Coturnix japonica: one gene and its partners. The protein of the gene in region 2 interacts with the protein of the main gene of each other region in a pairwise test. Links are inferred from orthologs where the notes say so. Each region holds a gene or a part of one and is shown on either strand. Other genes may lie near its edges.

Region 1 (3,516 bases), on a different chromosome or scaffold from region 2:
CGATGGCTGCATCTGTCCCACGTGCTGTCTGTGTCACACAGGTATGTGCCTTGTGCCAAGCTCCTGGCCACAGAGATAGGTTCCCCAGTAATACATGACCCTGATCACCAAAGGACTCCTGTTCCCCACCTGCCTCCCCAGTCATAGGATGGCTTAGGTTGGAGGGGACCTTAAAGATCGTCCTAACCCTAACCCCCCCCCCCACCATGGGCAGAGTTGCCAACCTCTAGATCAGGCTGCCCAGGATCCCATCCCACCTGGCGCTGAATGCCTCCAAAGATGGGGCATCCACAGCTTCTCTGGGCAGCCTGTTCCAGCGCCTCACCCCCCCCTCTGTGTAAATCCCCTCCCCTACAGTCCATAGTGTTGCCCATGTGGCAGGTGCTGTAGCAGAGGGGCAAGGGAGGGCACTTCTCCCCACGCCTGGGAGAGTGGGGCCTTGTAGCTCCTCAGTGGGCCACAGTGTCCATTGGAGCCTGGCAGATGTTCCCACTGCTTGCTTTAAGTCTGCTTCTTTTCCCATTCCTGCAAGAGAAAAGAAAAAAAAAGAGGGGGATGAAGAGATATCAGAGGCTGGAGGAGTGAGCACTGAGCCCTTTGAGTGTCTCCTTCCCTCCCGGGGGCTTTGGACCACCCCAGCATCTCCAAAGGCTGGTGAGTGCTGCCGTGGGCATTGAAGAGGTAATACTTTCACTGCTGCCCACCCAGCCCTGGGCCCCTCAAATCTCCTGCAGGGTAAGTTCACATCAGTAGCCTCTGCCACTGAAGGGAACCAGCCCAGATGCAACCCAGGCTGCATCCCTTGTGTTTGGAGTAAGGAGCATCCACAGTCCCCCAAATTCTTGGTCATATATGGGGACAGGATGAAAAACTGAGATTTCCTTAGGAGCCAGGGAAGAGAGGAGGAATGAAGCAGGACCTTGGCTTTCCTCAGCACATTGCCCTTGTTGGCAGGAAGGATGGAAGGGCTTCTCTTTCTCAGTTCAGCTGCGCTGTTAACAGGAACCAAGTGCTCAGGGGGGCTCCCATTTGGCTTGTTTGTAGCTTCCTGTGGAAAAGAAGGATATACAAAACCTAAGGAGCAGAAAGTGCCAGGAAAGCACAAACCGTCATGGAGTCAAAGCTTACGTCAGTGCTTTGCTTCCTACCTCTAACAGCAATGTGATAAAGATCAGGGGTGTCTTCTCATCCCCACTGCTGCTTATTCCCTCCCCAAACCCCTTTGCAGGTGCCAGAGGAGCAAGGAAAAAGAGGTGCGTACCCCATTCTCAGCCTTGCCAGTCACAGCCAGCCCCAGGGCCGGCCCTCCTGCCAACGACTGCTTCAGCTGCTCCTTCACTTCGCTTAGCTGGAGCTCCAGGTCGACGCGGCGCTCCTCCTTCTGCCGGCACTGCTCCTCCAACAAAGCCACACGCTGCTCCAGGTCCTGCAGCTTCACTCCTGGACACATAAGTACCTGGTTCAGTGGCTGAGGTTACCAAGGCCGGGCAGTCATCCATTCTCTTGGGTAGTGACACTAGATGGGGCTGCTGGCCAAGCAGTGTGCTGCAGCCAAGCCTGAGCATGGTCACAAGTGTCACAGCCACACTGCAAGCCTTGCATTCCCATCTGGGCCCTTCCCATCGTACCCGGGTGCCTTTGAGCATCCTCAGCCACAGTATGCAACCTACCTGAGCTGCTTTTCATGGCTTCCCGCAGCTCTCTCCTCTCTTTCCGCAGCAGTACCAGCTCACTGCGGATTGCTGCTTTTTCCTTCTCCAGCTTATCCTTCTCTGTCAGAAAACGCCTGGCATCCTCCTCAGCCCGGTTCTTCCCATACCTGTACTGGTTGGCATCTGCATGTACAAAGAGAGCCAGTCACAATGACTCCAGCCTAAGAAAGCCCCACCTGAGCCCAACATGAACTGCAAGGATACCCCTCATGGTCCCACTGTGCTGGCACAGCCCAACCCAGGACCCCCTGGTGGGATCAGCCTCCACACAGAGGCCAGGGGCTTCCTCCACTCTGAGTGTCCCCTGGCAGACCCCCACTCACTTGATGCGTGTCTCTTCACTTTGACCTGTGGGTCAATTCGCCGCGACTTCTCGCTGCAGGAGGAGGCATGGCGCTTCACCTGGGCTCCCGCTGGCCGTCCTGACTCCTCCTCAGCCTGCAGCGGGGACAGGAAAGCATACTGAAACATCTATGGGGCTGCCACGACCCACCGAGCATCCCCAGGACATCTCCTTCACAGCGGTGGGACGTGGTAAGGCCCTGAGTCACGCTCACCTGAACCTTTTCATAGGGGACATCATCGTACACCACACGGGAGGAGTCAGGTCGGCTGTCCTGGGAGCTGCTGGCCCACCTGTGGGACAAGGGATGAATGTGCCATGGGCTTCCTATCCAGGACATCCCTGCCAGCCCCATAACGGGCTCTTTAGTCTCACTGCTCTCCCAGCTCTGGGCAGGGACACAGCTTTGCTTTTGTCTGCTCACCCTGCCCTATCTAAGCAAACAAATCCCTTAGGTCCTTCGTCAGCATTAATAAAGAATCATGCAGTCGTAGAATCATAAAATGTCTTGGGTTGGAAAGGACCTCAGAAATCCTCTCATTCCAACTCTTCTGCCACAAGTAGGGTTGCCAAATACTAAATCAGACACTAGATCAGATTGCCCAAGGCCCCATCCAACCTGGCCTTGAATGGGGTATCCACAACTTCTCAAAAAGCACCTTCTAATTTCAGTCCTGCCCAAGGGAAGATGCATTGCTTTGAGAAATACAGCCTCTGGGATGTCCTTTTTATCTCCTGGGATCTTGAGAAAACCCCATCCCAGTCTGTGCCCCTGCCCAAGAGCCCAGGATGAAGCCCACCATCCCACCTCATCGTGGTTTAGCACAGCACGAGGAAAGTCTTACAGGTAGGAGTGCCTGACGGCTGTCACAATGTTAGCAATCGTCTCCACATCCACATAGTCATAGTGTAAAGCCTCCGGTGCAGTCTTGGAGCCCGTCTCCACCAAGAGAAGGCCCAGCCAGCGGCCCAGATCTTCTGAGCAGCTTGCCTGTAAAAAGAGAAGGGGCTGGGGAGCATGCCTGGCTTCAAGTGACCCTCACTCCTACCCCAAAACACAAAGCCCCGCTGCAGGGAAGGGGCTGAAGTGTGCCCTGCTCACCTCTAACGCAGCCACCTCCTGCCCACTGCGCAGGATACGGAATGCAAAGGGGTGTTTGGGGCCCAGCCCTGGGACCACCTCACAGCCCCGGAGGTTGATGGCGTTGACGTGGGTGCGCAGGTCGGTGCGGTCCTTGTGGAAGTAGAGGGTGTTGGCCTTGAGGCGGCACCAGCGCTCCTTCCAGCACTGGTTGACCAGGACGCTCAAGTAGCCTGAGGATAGAAATGTCTCAGCACCATTTTGGAGCCCCAAGGAGTGCCCTAATTCTCCATGAGCTCAATGGGAGCTCCCACCCCACAGCCCCTCAGAACCCATTTCTGCCCCCAACCCCACAAACCGCAGCATGGGATATCCTCCTC
Region 2 (3,569 bases):
AGTTCATAGCAAATGTCATGTTTATTCACTATTAGTTTTTGGTCTAACTAACTAAGTCTAATCAAAGTAAACACTACATGTATTTGACATCTAAGGAGACCTTCAGGTCACCATCACATTTGAGCTGCTTCTGCCATGTAGAAACCTCTATAGCTCCAAATGAGTAACTCATTTAACATGTAATGATGCTATTTACTGGAGATTCGTGTTCCCAGTATCCATGTTTCTAGCATGGACTGTGATCCCCTAGCAGACCGCAAAGACAACATACTACAATAAATGAGCTCATTAAGTATGCAGCTCTTTAGTCTCGCAAGCTGTTGCAGAGGGTGAAAAGCTGGATTATCAACTTGGGAAGCACACTTGTGATCCAGCTGGGCCCAGAGAGAAAGCATGTGAGCAACATCCCTATTACTGTTGAGTATACCTTTGACTACAGTACATGAGCAAAGCAGCAGTGGTATTGCAGTGACATGCTTCCCCACCCAGTAAGCCAGATACTCACAGAAATTAAGTGTCAAAAATTTATTATGAAAGCTTCCATAGCAGCAAACGTTTAAAAAAAAAAAAAACAACAAAAAAACAAAAAAACTATTGCATTATTAAACCAGTACACTGGCCCAGAGGCCTGTTGAAGTCTGTCTGCTTTAAGAGTGTCTGTATTTGCCTTGATAATTAGTCTCTAAAAGTCCAAGAAGTACTGAAGCTTGCTTCTCTTCATGTTTTGTAGACAGCACCAACAGCTTATAGTCACAGTACTGTTCAATCCTGTGAAGTTTTGGACCACTTCCCCTAACTTTCTCTGCTTTCTGAAACAGATCCACTTGACCAGGAAACTTGCAATACTCGTTTCAGTTCCATAGTACATTATCTTCCACACAGCTGCAGTCTACTGACACCCACTGATGAGGTGAGCTATTCTTTTCCTTTCTCCTCTGTAAGAGCCCACAGCATGCCAGTCTGAGTGACTGTAATCCAGTCCCTTGACCAGGCTAATCCATGGAATCAGCAGCTTGTTGCACACTTCGGTGAACCAACACCACGTTGAGAATGCAACAGAGGTTTCAGCCTCCCCAGCATGCCAGGCCATAGTCACTCAGGTAAGACAATAGTTGGCACCCACTCATTGACGTTCCGGCTTTCTTCACAGAAGCAGTTCAGCTTCTCTAAAGCTGGATCCTTCCAGCCATCTTCATTTGAGTTCTGGTAGAAAAGCATCGCACACCATGAGTGCACAAAGTCACAGTATTATTTTACAGAAGCACTAGCTTAAAAAGCAAAGCATTTTCAGAGACAAAGAGCAGGAAGCTGAGCTGTCACCAATGTGGGTGGCAGTGAAACCCCCTTTACAGAAGCACCGCCCCCTGTATCTCAGCAGTTCTGCACCCCAAGGGCTAAGCCCGGCCAGCCCACAGAGCTCCATCCCTCCCAGTCCCAGCCACGCACCGTAATGAGGATGCAGTGCAGGTCTCTGGGCTCACCAGACTCTTCGTTGGATCCCACGGCAGCAGCCAGCTTGGGTAGGTCGTTCACACGCACGATGTCGATGTCATTCTCGCAACAGAAGGCCTGGATGAGGGTGAAGTGGATCTGTAGGGCGATGTCCCCCTCGTCCTCCTCATCGGCCGCCAGCACGCAGAACGCCACGTTATCTGGGTCCCTGCGGGTGGCGAGCACCGTTAGGCCCTAGTAGGGCTTCCTTGCCCCTCGCCCCACTCGCGCTGCCCGCCCCCCCTCACCCCACTCACACGTTCATAAGCTTGGCCGACTCGTAGACGCCGGCAGTGAGGCAGCCGCGGCGCTGCGCCGACACCAGCAGCTCGTGGAGGGCCTTGCCGGCGCCCTGCATCCTGGAAGCCGGAGAGAGCGGTCAGCACGTCACCAGCGCCCGGACAACGGCCACCCCACCTCCCAGCCAACCGCCTACCAGTCCTTGCCCGCGGGCACCGGCTCCTGTCCTTGCGCCTCTTCCAGAGTCATAGCAGCGTGTCGCCAAGCAGCGCTGTCACCGATAACCCCCAGCTCCTCCCAACAACCCAATACCCACGTCCTGCCGCAGCTCCAGCGGCTCCTGCTCCTTTTAAGCCCGCGGAGCTCCGGCGCTGGCAGCTGGCGGCGGCCGGTGCGTTCCCATTGGCGGACGGGGAGCCGGGGGAGCGCTTTGTCATGCTAATGGCCGCACGCCGGGCGGGAGGTGGGGGCGGCTCGTGCCGGGGGGACACGTGGTGGCGCAGGGAGGGCGGCCACGGCCGCGGCGTGGTGGCGTGATCCGCGGGCACGGGGAAGGCGTGTGCCGGGAGGGGGCCCACAGCTGCTGCGTGGCACCGTGCTGCTGCCTTGGGGATGCTGGGGTAGGAGGGTTCCTTCTTAACAGTTGTGCTGAGGCTGCTCGGGAGGTGGGGGAGTCACCATCTCTGGCGGTGTTCATTAATCGTGTGAATGAAGCGTTGAGGGACTTGGGTTAGTGCTCGTGGTGGGGGTGGGTTGGCGGTGGGGCTTGGTGATCTCAGGTCTTTTGCAGCCATTGTGATTCTATGAGTGCTCAAAGGCATTCTCAGCTTGAAAGTCTGCATTGCTACCTGCTGCACTCCCTTAAATGGCATGACTTGAGCTGCTGCTACGGGGTCAGTGTGCATCACCTTAATCTGTTCTTCCAGGTACATAGGTCACTCCTCTTTATTTCCGTAGAAATTACAACAAAGAGTGCAATAGCACTGTTTGATGGAGCAAATTCTCAGCTTCAAAACACATATTTTCAATAGTCACCATCTTTAGCTTTTCATTTTCACCAGCAGTGAACAAGAGCCTTCATCTCATGTTCGTAAACATCTACGCCAGCTGACCTTGCTCAGAGAAGGTCTAGATGCCCCATCCTTGGAGACATTCAAGGCCAGATGGGTGGGGCCTTGGGCAGTCTGATCTGGTGGTTGACAAACTGCCCATGGGATTGGAACTGGATGGCTTTTGTGGTCCCTTCCAGCTCGAAGCATTCTGTGATTTTATGATAGATGACCCACCTATCACTGTCACCACTGCTGAAACACACCACCTACTGCCTTACTGTGATCACATCCACTGTTTGGTCTCTATAAGCAAACATCTATGAATGTCGATAGGTGCCATTTTTTCAGCATGGAGGAATTCAGTGACACAGCTTTGCTCCATACACACTTCCATGTCAGACACTGTTCTGTCAGACTGCCCCTCTGCTGTCACATAGCAACAAAATGCAATGCAGTGTTGGTGGGAAGGTCCAACCTCTACTACCACCTTCCACCTCTGATGTCATGGGCTGACAAAATGGGAGGCATTAATTTCAGAGCAGCCCCAGTGTGCAGCCACAGACCTTTAACACACAAATTCCCATTTCTGCCCACAAGCCCAGTGCCCTGCAGCCACAGACTCCAGCAGACTCTGTGCTGCAGACAGTTCTTTTGTCTGGTGGAGAACTGACAGCACCACGTCCTGGGTAGCTCTGCTGCTGAGTGCTTCAGGTCATTCAGTATCAGGGTGGGCCCACCACACATCAGTGCCACGCAGGCACCATGAAGCACATTTTGCCATTAAAT
Region 3 (3,516 bases), on a different chromosome or scaffold from region 2:
CTCAGTCGTGATATAACAATCGAAAGCAAAAGAACAATATTTCTACTCCACAGGTATATCAGGTGAGTCCTCTGTCTGCCTGGAAAGCAAATGGGATCCTGGGCTCCATCAGGAGAGGGGTGGTCAGCAGGGATAGGGAGATGATTTCCCTCTCTACTCGGCTCTTGTGAGGCCCCATCTGGAGTACTGTGTCCAGGTGTGGAGCCCTCAGTACAAGAAAGACATGGAGATTTTGGAAAGGGTCCAGAGGAGGGCCATGAAGATGATCAAGGGGCTGGAGCACCTCCCCTATGAGGACAGGCTGGGGGAGTTGGGCTTGTTCAGCCTAGAGGAGAGAAGGTTGCGGGGTGACCTCATTGCAGCCTTTCAGTACCTGAAGGGAACTTACACCCAGGAGGGGAGTAAACTCTTCAAAAGGGCTGACAATAGCAGGACACGGGGAAATGGTTTTAAGTTGAAGGAGGGAAGATTTAGGTTGGATGTGAGGGGGAAGTTCTTCACTAGGAGAGTGGTTAGGCCCTGGAACAGGCTGCCCAGGGAGGTTGTGGATGCCCCGTCCTTGGAGGTGTTCAAGGCCAGGTTGGACAGGGCCCTGGGCAACCTGATCTAGTAAAGGTGTATGTTTGGTTGCCCTGCCAGGCAGGGGGTTGGAACTACATGATCCTTGAGGTCCCTTCCAACCTGGGTCATTCTGTGATTCTGTGAGTCACACTGAGTGTTAAAGTGTCTGTACAAACCTAGAAGCCGTCTTTCAGTGTTCTGTGTTTGTGACTAATAGCTGAGATATTTTGTTGAGAAAGATTAATTACCCATAAACATCCTTTAGCAACTGAATGCATGCACCAGTTAGAGAATTAATAGATACTGGCTGAGGTTTTTTAGTTGGTTTTATTGGAATGTTAAACAGGATCAAAGTAGTAGAGTATAACAGCAGATGAGAGCTTATCAGCTTCCAGCAAGCTGGCAGAGAAGAACATGCAGCCTTCCTTCAGATTAATTGCCTCTGCTGTTATTTCCCCTTTTGGGTTCTTGTAACCTCACCTTCAGTAATCAGTGCAAAAAGCAGCCTTGATTGTTCACTGCATTCTGCAATCTAAGAGTCTTGTGCATAAAGCTTTGAACTTCTGTATGTTTTGTGTCCTCCTAAGCCTTCAGGCAACCACTGGAAGCCACAAACAAAGCAGGAAAAGAATGGGAAAATGTAGAGCTTCATGTACCCAGCTGAATAAAATATTTACTCGTTCTACGTGTAACTTCTATAAACAGCTCTCCCTGTTCCTTCTCCCAGATTTATTTTTTTCTTTCTTACCTGAACACATCTGTTTTGGTAGTATCTATTTTTAGTTACCATAGTAGTAACATTTATAAATAGATGTTAGGAAATTGCCCTCTTTTTTACTTGGTCTTCTGTGAGGAATTACTGCGATAATTCTGGTAACTGCCTCAACCTTGGCTGTGAATAGCTGTTCCCAGTGTAGGGAAAAGAACAATAATGAGATGCTCGTTAATTCTGAATTTTAGATTCCTGTTTTTAAGATACGTGTGTTTTTGTGAGAGTGGAAGCTTTCCGTGCTATATTTTGCTTTCCTAGTCCTTTGGTTTTAGCCACTGTTATGTCTTTACTTTCTGAAATCAGTTTGCTTTTAAATGTTTTCTTGAGACTAGTCTATCTGTAGTCTCCACATAGCCAGTAAACCTAATAATGTACTACATAGAGTTTGAGATCGGAACAGGAATGGTTTTAAAGGAAATTGGTTAAACTAAACATACATGCCAAGTATATATTGTTTGTAAATCAGATATTTCAGCCGTTCTTTCATAACACAGCTCATCATTACTGTCTAAAATGTATGTACTTAATGTGTGTTCTGTAATGTACTGCAGAATACCGATACTTTTGTTTTAAAGAGATTAATGAGCTTCTACAAAGACTGTTCAATTTCCAGCATACTCTTATGAAGCATTTACATGTATTTCTCATTGTTCTTACGTAAGCAATTGTTAGAATTATTATCTAGAATAAATATCATGCTACTGGAACTATGCTTGGCTGGCTGATTATTTTCATGACAGGAGTCTGCATAACCCATCTTTCAGAGTCTACAATAATTGTCAATGGAAGTTGAACCATTTCTGATTCCAGTATCTGCTCCATTTTTTTCCTTCAAGTCTATGAATGTGTATTAGTGATAGAAAACTTAAAACGTTTTTCTTTAACTGTCTGCTCGTATTCTGAAAGCTGCTGTTTGAATTTCTGCTTTGTGATTTCAGTGCTCCCAATGGTGAAGAAGTACTAAATGAATCTGAAGTCAAATTAGATGCTGTCAGACGGAAGATTAAGCAGGTTGCACAAGAGCTAATCGGTGAAGACATGTATCAGTTCCACAGAGCTATATCTCCCGGTAAATTATTTTACAATACAGAAAGTGCTGTTTTGCACTAAACTTGATATCTTGCCTAGCAGTGGTTCTTCTTCTTCATGCAGCAGGTTTGAACATAGCACATTTCTGTGGTTATAAAGCGGGATTCAGATTCATCTTTGTCGTTAGCAGAGTTAGTTCTGATACTGGAGAGACTATTATCACACAGACTTGTTAGTGTTGCTGTTAAACAAGGATTTGCTGCAACTGGATAACTTTGTACCCTGACCTACACTAAAGCTGGGAGTGGTTCTAATGTACGTACTGGTCAGTTGTCTTTGACAGTGTGCTACATGCTCATTTACCCCAGTTGAACAGGTTGTAACTTCAGGGAGGGAGAAGGAATGACTAGCTTGTGAAATTATACCTATGTGAATTCACAAAGTTCATGGCTTAAAATCCCTAGATTAGCATTTTCTTTCTTCTAAAGACTTGGAATATGCAATTTTTATGTTTCAGTTGCATCTTTTTTGCTCTTCTTTGTGAAATAGCAATCTTTATACCATCCCTGAGACACTAAGTACCAGTGCTTTCATCACTTTTGCTGACAAAAGATACTTTTTTTGCTATGGAATATGATTCTTACCTAAAATTCTTTTGCCTTGTTTATAGCAATATATAAGTAAAGTCTGTAACTGCTTCCTTCCCATCTTGGTCATGCTATGGAAGTATCTTGTATTTACCTATCTTATGATAGATATATCGGTTTCCTGTGCATCTTTCCTTGTTCAGACAAGAATCCTTCAGTAATTCTTCAGGGGAGAGCTGCTCAGATTTAATTTTTAAAATTATTTTACTTTTATAAGCTGGTGATGAATACACCTATGAAGAAATGTAATTTACAAGACAAACAGAGCGCAAGTTAACTTTTACTTATGTATGTGAACTTAGGGTCATCTAAGAGTGAGATGCTCTTAAGTGAAAGTTCAGTTTGGCACTCCTGAACTTGCCGTACTAGTTTTCAATGGTTCTAACTCAATTCCACAGCCTGCCTGTGGTGCTACATTTGGTTATTCAATTTAAGTGTGAGCAGTTACTCGTAGGAGAGACATTTACAACCTGTGTGAATCTTGCTGCCCTCTGTCGCTTAGTATTT
Region 4 (4,006 bases), on a different chromosome or scaffold from region 2:
ATTCCTTTGCCACATTTCAGCTCCTTGCCTGTTCCTGTCTTGGGCCATGAACTCGGGAGCTCTATGCCCCCTGTCCTCTCTGAACGTACAGATGAGCTCCTTCTTTGACCCAGGTTTTTGCAGTACATACACAGCGCTACTCTCTAAACATGCTATAAATCTAAGAAGCAAGGAAATGAAGGGTGGACAAAACAGCTCATTGTAACACATCCCACCACATCTGAAGGCTAAAGTACACAAAACCTTATGAACTGACTTGCATCTAGTGAAGGACACCGATGATGCAGAATACCTTACACTCCTGCTCCTGAATGGGGAAAGGAGGAAGGGCTTAGTCTGGTTTCATTTGCATCCTTAATAAAAATGAAACATTCTTCTAAAGTCTAGGAGGAGATGCATGTAAGTGAGGGCCGCAGAGGAGCTGCTCAGATTAGACCTGACGGATGCAGAAATGGCATCAGGCCCTTCCAGGGGCCAGGCAGGTGCTGCTGAGCTGCTGCCCACAGTCAGAGTGAGCTGCACGTCCTGCCTGCACTGCTGGAAAGCAGAACACAAAGCTCTAAGCAGCTCCCTGCACACTGCACAACTGCAGCTTTCCTTTGAAAACAAAGGGGAAGAGATGCTTGCACGTGTCTACGTGTTCTGAGCAGTGACTTCTTTCCAGTCAGGGCAGTCTTGTGTAATGTTACGTACTGGGAGTATCAACCTACGGTGACCCAAAAAGAGCCTCCAGTAGGAAGAACAACACAAAATGTCAAGCACAAACATGTTCCTTCCTGTGCAATTTCCTCCCCCTCCTGCCTATCGATATTCTGCAAGGCTGGGGACAGCTGCCAGGAGCTGGAGTCACCATTGCACAACTTGTTTTAACTCATCACAAGGAAGCACGCCCTGTGCAAATGACCGGCCAGCAGCCAGCTGTGAGCACAGCACATACAGCCCCCCTCGCTGCGACCCTGCCACAGAAACGCCACTAAGTGCCACTGAGGCATCAAAGCCTTTACTGTGCAAACTGAGCAGGTTTGCTATAACTGGTCAGCTCGGATGTACTTCAGCACAGCGTTTCACTGACAAAAAGCATCACATCTGAGCCATCCTGGGCACCCCATGAGCCAAAGGCACCTTCAATCAATCAATCAATCAATCTCACCTCCACTCCCAGCTGCTGCTCCTTGTGGGGGAAACCACCACCAGACACAAGTCATAAACCTTCCTGCAGCTGACGCTGCTCTGCCACACCCACCCCTCCCATCCCTCCAGGCTGAGGAGAGCTCTGAAGTACCACAGAAACTCCATACGCCCAACACCAAGAGGCCAAGAACAAAAGGCAGCACCGAGCTCTGCTCCTCAGGGAGGATCCCCCTCATCGCACACCTCCCCATCCAGGAGGTCCTGAAAGCACCGACAGTGACAACAGAGCCCAGAGCAAACACTCACCTTTTCATGCCATTGGAGTAATATTGCACTGCTATTTTCTGTCGGCTTTTCAAATCCTTTATAAATATACTTCATTAACAAGTCAATCCCGTTTCTGTCTAAGGAGTTCACCGCTTGTTCAATTTCACTGCTCTTAAAAGACGTGAGGACTCTGAGCATGGTGCCCTGCGCCTGCTCCTGCACAGGAAGGAAAACGGCATTAGGATCAGCAAAGCTGGATGTGACCCCAAGTGCAGCAAAGCACTCGGAGCAGCGGCTGCGCTGATGGTGTGAAGATGCAGCAGCCAAACAGGAGGAAGTTTTACACTTTAAGTTTCAGTAGTGAGAAGGAAGAAGAGCAGAGAGCTTTAAAACTGGACTTGTTGGTGTTCCCACCTGGGGGGAACCACCTGAACTGCACTGCAGAACAAACCTACAGCCCGAGAACAACGAACAACGTCCGGCTCCTGCAGCACAAGATCCCCTGGGCTGTGCTCTGTGCTCCCTCTCAGCCCCCGGCTGCTGCCGGCCGCGTTTCCCCACAGCACGGGCCGCTCCCCGGGCACACAGCAGCACCGGGCCGTCCTACAGCAGCACCGCGACACCCGCACACAAACCGCAGCGCCGTCCTTCAAGAGCAGACGGACGGGAGGTGCCATGGAGCACAAGGTCAGCGCCGGGGGCGCCGCTCGTTACCGGTCCCGGGGCCGCACTCACCTTCATGGCCGCGCTGCGCGTCTGTGCGGGGTTGTTCCTTAGGGCCGCGTGCAGCGCGCGCAGCGCTTCGCCTCTACGGCGAGAGTCAAGGAGCAACGGCGGCACCGGGAGCACCGGGACGGAGCGATAAGGGGAGGGGGCAGGGGAGGAGGGCGCTGCAAAGCGGGTACCTGAACTACGGCCACACAACGGCAGCGGGGAGGGACGGGACCGGGGGCAGCACGGAGGGCAGCACCAAGCAGCACCGAGCAGCACCGGGCAGCACCGGGCAGCACCGAGCGGCACCGGGCGATACCGGGCAGCACCGGGCGATACCAGCCAGCACCGGGCAGTACCGGGCAGTACGGGGCAGTACCGAGCAGTACCGAGCAGTACCGGGCGATACCGGGCAGCACCGGGCAGTACCGAGCAGCCTCAGGCCGCGCTCCCGCCCCGCAAACCTTCCCGAGGCCCCGCGGGCAGCGCTCGGTGGCCGTGCCGCCATGAAGGATACTGCCTCAGCAGCGCCTCCACCTCGGGGCTCGCGTCGGGTTCGGCCGCCGCCGCCTCCTCGGGCTCCTCCACGAAGCGGTTCTCGTCGTACTGATCGATGTCCAGGCGGCGGAAGCGGGACGAGAGCGTGCTCCGCGCCATGCCGACGGAACCGGAACCGTCGGAACCGGAACCTCCCCCGCCGCTCCGCCGGAACCGGAAGCGCGGAGCCCGCCCCGCCCGGAGCAGGAAGGAGCGGAGCGGAGTGCGCCCCCCCGTCCCGTCCCGTCCCGTCCCGTCCCGTCCGGCGCCACGGAGCGACACGGCGCTGAAAAACCACAACGAGCCTTTAATTACAAAGTGGGCGGCGGCACCAACGGCCGCGGAACTTTGCTGCTGAAATCTCGTACATCTACGGGAGACGAACGGAGCCGCACGGAGCACCGGGAGCAGCCGAACGGCGCCGCTCAGCGGAGAAACGAACAACGAGCGGTTCGGATCCGCACAAATGGATCCGGGGGAGGGCGGGGAAACGGCTGCGCAGCGCAATGACAACGAACGGCGATAAGTTAAAGATAAAAGGCAGAGGCGGCATCTCAGCAGCAAAGTGCTCAATAAAAAGTATATTGTAGGGCGGGGGCGGCTCAGAGGAAGTAGGGGGTGGTTGTCCGGGGAGGGATCACCCGCTCTGAGTCTGGGACGGCGCGGAACAGCCTCGGTTCTCTCGTATTTACGTCCTGGAAGACCATGATGGAAGCGATGTTCCCGCAGCGATAGCAGTAATTGGGAGCTGACCACACCGTTACCAACTTCTCGTCAAACATGAATTTGTAGCCTTCGTGAACCAGCTGATGTGCTCTGCAGATGAGCTTCAGGTTGTTGATGTGGACAAACTGCAAAGAAAAGTGGCGTGTCACAGCTCTGTGCGTGGCCGCGCAGCAGCTGCTGCCCAGCAGAGCTCCTCAGCGCTGTGTGGGCCCAGCTCCGGGCTCAGCTCTGGGCTCTGCAGCGCTGACAGCACTGACCCACCCGGGAGGTTTTCCCAAGGCCTCTGAGAGGTGCAGGCTGTGCTAAGGACACTCCCTGTGTCCCTGTGCTCCCAGCACAGCTCTGCGGCCCCAGCCATGTGTGCCCAGCACCCCCACAGAGCTGGGACTGAGCTGATGGTGCTGGGAGCAAACCGCTCCTGTCAGAGCACAGAGGGCAACTTTGGGCTTTGAAACCTGAACAGTGAGAAACACTCCTGCCTGTGACAGCCGTGGTGCCTAGGCCTGCACTGCCCACGCCTTTCAATCCCTCCTGAATATGCTGCAGAGGAGCAGAGAACAACACACTGCATGAGGCAGGGATTCATCTTAGGGCCGGTTCAGAAGCCTGGGAAGTTCAGTGGGTCTGAGCCTCT
Region 5 (3,334 bases), on a different chromosome or scaffold from region 2:
CTGCAATACAGAAACAGTAAGAGAACCATGAATCTCTCCATGTATGCAAAAGCCTTATTTTACTAAAAACCCTAATGGCAATTTGTTATTTTTCCACAAGTTGCATTTAAGACATGTAAGCCAAATTAAAGACAGATTATCAAAGGTCTAACATTCTTATTAGTTACTTAAAACACCAGGTACACTGCACAACATCCAGTAAATGCAAAGTCCAACTAGTAAACTAATGAATTAAAAGAAGCAACGAGGGCGTCAACTATCCTGAAGGTCATAAGCATCAAAGGAAGATGACCAAAGATCAGTTTTCTATACATCATCACTTTCAGACTGCTGAAATCAGTTCATATTTGCATTATGGTTGATAATTCCAACAAAGCACAATTTAACACCTCTCATATCTAATCCTCACTGTAACCTGAACTGGCTTTTTTTAATATCCAAGATCAGGCCCATGTTGCTACATCTGGCATTCATAGGCTTGCAAAGTTAGGGACCAAAAGTCAACAACTGAAATGCTATTTTTCACAGATATTAATTCAAATGCTACCACTTGGCATCATAAAGCCCTCATGAAAAAAGTCTACTTGAACAGTTTTTTGGAAGTGAGGAAGAGGTCCTACAGTCTACTGCAATGAATAAATGCCTGAAATGTGCATACGCACACTTATCTGACATTTCTCTTTGGTCTGATTCTTCACCTGGAGGCAAAATCCTCCTGTCTTTGCGAGCAATTGAAATGTTGACTTCCAATCCCTCATAAGTACAGAGTTTGAGGAATTTGCAGATATTTGAGATATTTCTTACATTATGATTTTAAAAGAATACATAGGCAGTCAAAAGGGGGACAGCATTGTTGCCATTAAAGATCAAGCCATAAGACAAAGGATCCCACTTGCATCCCAGCGTGAAAGAAAGGAAAAGCAGCTCTTGCCTTTGGCTCTATCAGCAAGCAGAAACTGGAGGAGGAACACCAGTTTGTCTCAAAATGACAACCTCTGCTTGCCTGCCCTGTCTTCCTTTCACATCATTTCAAGCTTCCCTACTTCACAGCCAATGGCCATGCTGTGAGTGATGCTATGTTAAAAAGCAGAGAGCAACCAGAGCTCCAGTGCTGAACAGCTTGCCCATACTCTCATGTGCCACAACTAATATTGCGAAGAAACAAACAGACATCTTGTCCCTGCCTTTTTTTTTTTTCTTTATGCCTTTTCCCATTTGCACAGAGCAATTTTACTGGGAAAAAAAAATAATCTTTCTTGAATTAAAAAAATAAAATATCACACTTTAGACCATCATTTCTGGTGACAGGTTACCAGGTAAGAACAGTCCATCAACTTATGAGAAAGCCATTTCACTTAAACAGACCCAGGAGCATATAACAATTTAGCAGAGACTGAGATTGGTCACGTTTATTGGAGTTACCTTTTGCAAGTCTTCACTGAAAGCACACTCGTGTTCAGACTGAGGTAAAACAGCACTTGCTGCTTTTGGGGAATGAATCATTTCCTTGCCATCTTGGCATGTATTTTCCTGCATCCCTAATGCCGTAACTGGGGTCATTCCACTTGAGATGCTCTCCATGAAGGGCAAACTCTTTCCCTGGTTTACAGTGGAACTCTCCTCCTCAACACTTGGAGTCACCAGAGCTGCAGGTGCAGATTTTAAGTCATTTCTTAAATCTCCAGGTGAAGAAACATTAGAGTTTGTATGCACTTTAGGATCTTCCTGAGGTAACAGCATTCCTTTGCTTTTGGACCATAACAGATTCACCACTTTGTTGCTTATTTTAGCGACTTCAGTAGAATCAATTAGTTTGGATGTTGCCTTTTTAAGCGAAGCACCACATGAGGAAGATGTCTGCATGTCAGCTTGGGCCGTCAAAACATCAGAGCCTCTCCTGGTCAATAAATAGACTTTCCCATTATACATGACCAGAGCATTTTCCTTAATGGATGTGATTTTTGTCTGGCTTACACCAGAACCACTAGTACAGAGTGCCAAAATATTTGCAGAGCTAGCTTCTACATTCTTCATATCTGACAGAGTTTTCAAGATCTTGGAAGCCACGTTATTTGATGACTTTACAGGAACAAGGCAAGGCGCTGGCAACTGTGGACCTTCTTGCACAATCCATTTCATTGGTGTATGCTGGCACTGCTGACCATCACACGTTCCTGTCTCAGGAGAAGAGCTACATGCCTCTTGTGGAGATGTCATTAGCAACGTTTTTGAAACATCTGGGGCAGGTTTGGGGTCAACAGCTTGCAAACGCTTGGGAACTGCTGTTTTCACTGCGTTCACGGGTGACACATAAATCACAGTTGGCATTTTTTTACTATCAGCTCCATCAGACACATTTGTTGCTGCAGCGGCAAGTATTTTTTGCTGGATTGAAGCTGGTAAAAAAGAAGCTGGAATATATTTCACTTCCGCATCTGCTGGTATCTGGAGGTGGTGGCCAGAGGGCAGTACTGGAGGCTTCACAGAAATGGGATTATCTTTTCTGTTTACTGACACGCATGCGGTGTGACTCTGTTCAGATGAACTTGTTATGGCAGCGTTCTGCAAAGACTGTCTATCAACTGAAACACAACTACTCTGGACATCAGCAGCTGATTCTGTCATCAAGCTTTCTTTATCAGAACCTGCTCTAACACCTCCCTGTTTGTCTAAAGTCCTTGCAAGGATAATCTTTCCAGAATTAGGAGACTGAAAAACAGGTATCGTAACAGATGAAGGTGCAGCAGTACTGGCAAGCTGTGTCTTAAAAGCAAGATGAACTGGACTAGTAACATTCATATTAGGATTATTTGACATGGCCGAAGACTGAACTATTGGCACAAAGTTTCCAGATGATTTAGAAATTGGGAGTAATTTCAGAAGGTTTTTTCCATCTGGTCCCGTCGTCTGAACTACTCGGTACATACAGCCTGCAATGCTTAACAAAACAAAGAAAGGAGATAAGAAAGGAAAAAAAGAAAAAAAAGAAGAAAAAAAAAGAAAAAAAAGAAAGTATAAGTGAACACAGAACAGCTAATTTAATTAATGTCCATCAGTGAATTGCACATCCAGTGCTGCTATGCCTTAGAAACAGACTGACTACCAAAAAAAAAATCCAGATCTGATTTTCAACAACTTCAGAGGCAAAAATTTGATCATACTGTACGTTTGGGGTTAGCATTTCAGAGCACCAGACTGCACATAACATCCAGCAATTACACCATGGAGAAGCAAGAAAGAGCATCCTTCTCAGAAACCAGTGAGTTTAAAGACCCAAGGAAACAAATTATCTTCCTCTTCTGCTCAGCTATCTCCAGCTTTCACAGAATAGCCT

The links.
Region 1: the proteins of GADD45G (region 2) and AFAP1L1 interact in binary tests that used the Homo sapiens proteins (3 or more experiments, as listed by UniProt). The two-hybrid records come from large-scale screens. The link is inferred for Coturnix japonica from reciprocal best matches to the Homo sapiens genes GADD45G and AFAP1L1.
Region 3: the proteins of GADD45G (region 2) and TSNAX interact in binary tests that used the Homo sapiens proteins (3 or more experiments, as listed by UniProt). The two-hybrid records come from large-scale screens. The link is inferred for Coturnix japonica from reciprocal best matches to the Homo sapiens genes GADD45G and TSNAX.
Region 4: the proteins of GADD45G (region 2) and ARPC5L interact in binary tests that used the Homo sapiens proteins (3 or more experiments, as listed by UniProt). The link is inferred for Coturnix japonica from reciprocal best matches to the Homo sapiens genes GADD45G and ARPC5L.
Region 5: the proteins of GADD45G (region 2) and LRIF1 interact in binary tests that used the Homo sapiens proteins (3 or more experiments, as listed by UniProt). The link is inferred for Coturnix japonica from reciprocal best matches to the Homo sapiens genes GADD45G and LRIF1.

What each region holds. Positions count from the first base shown.
Region 1 is NC_029528.1:10,486,768-10,490,283, forward strand, and holds part of AFAP1L1 (actin filament-associated protein 1-like 1), read right to left. Parts: coding exon 3,495-3,516; intron 3,370-3,494; coding exon 3,158-3,369; intron 3,047-3,157; coding exon 2,901-3,046; intron 2,349-2,900; coding exon 2,270-2,348; intron 2,151-2,269; coding exon 2,036-2,150; intron 1,836-2,035; coding exon 1,671-1,835; intron 1,441-1,670; coding exon 1,262-1,440; intron 1,049-1,261; coding exon 920-1,048; intron 526-919; coding exon 502-525; 3' UTR 1-501. UniProt on the Homo sapiens protein: May be involved in podosome and invadosome formation.
Region 2 is NC_029547.1:39,082,526-39,086,094, reverse strand, and holds GADD45G (growth arrest and DNA damage-inducible protein GADD45 gamma), read right to left. Parts: upstream 2,207-3,569; 5' UTR 1,981-2,206; coding exon 1,928-1,980; intron 1,851-1,927; coding exon 1,749-1,850; intron 1,661-1,748; coding exon 1,447-1,660; intron 1,204-1,446; coding exon 1,093-1,203; 3' UTR 511-1,092; downstream 1-510. UniProt on the Homo sapiens protein: Involved in the regulation of growth and apoptosis. Mediates activation of stress-responsive MTK1/MEKK4 MAPKKK.
Region 3 is NC_029518.1:35,684,653-35,688,168, reverse strand, and holds part of TSNAX (translin-associated protein X), read left to right. Parts: coding exon 1-62; intron 63-2,271; coding exon 2,272-2,402; intron 2,403-3,516.
Region 4 is NC_029532.1:8,069,276-8,073,281, forward strand, and holds the start of ARPC5L (actin-related protein 2/3 complex subunit 5-like protein), read right to left. Parts: upstream 2,815-4,006; 5' UTR 2,767-2,814; coding exon 2,627-2,766; intron 2,207-2,626; coding exon 2,134-2,206; intron 1,615-2,133; coding exon 1,438-1,614; intron 1-1,437. Other genes in the region: PPP6C (serine/threonine-protein phosphatase 6 catalytic subunit), read right to left, coding at 3,249-3,497. UniProt on the Homo sapiens protein: May function as component of the Arp2/3 complex which is involved in regulation of actin polymerization and together with an activating nucleation-promoting factor (NPF) mediates the formation of branched actin networks.
Region 5 is NC_029541.1:1,449,717-1,453,050, forward strand, and holds part of LRIF1 (ligand-dependent nuclear receptor-interacting factor 1), read right to left. Parts: intron 2,939-3,334; 5' UTR 2,926-2,938; coding exon 1,423-2,925; intron 1-1,422. UniProt on the Homo sapiens protein: Together with SMCHD1, involved in chromosome X inactivation in females by promoting the compaction of heterochromatin.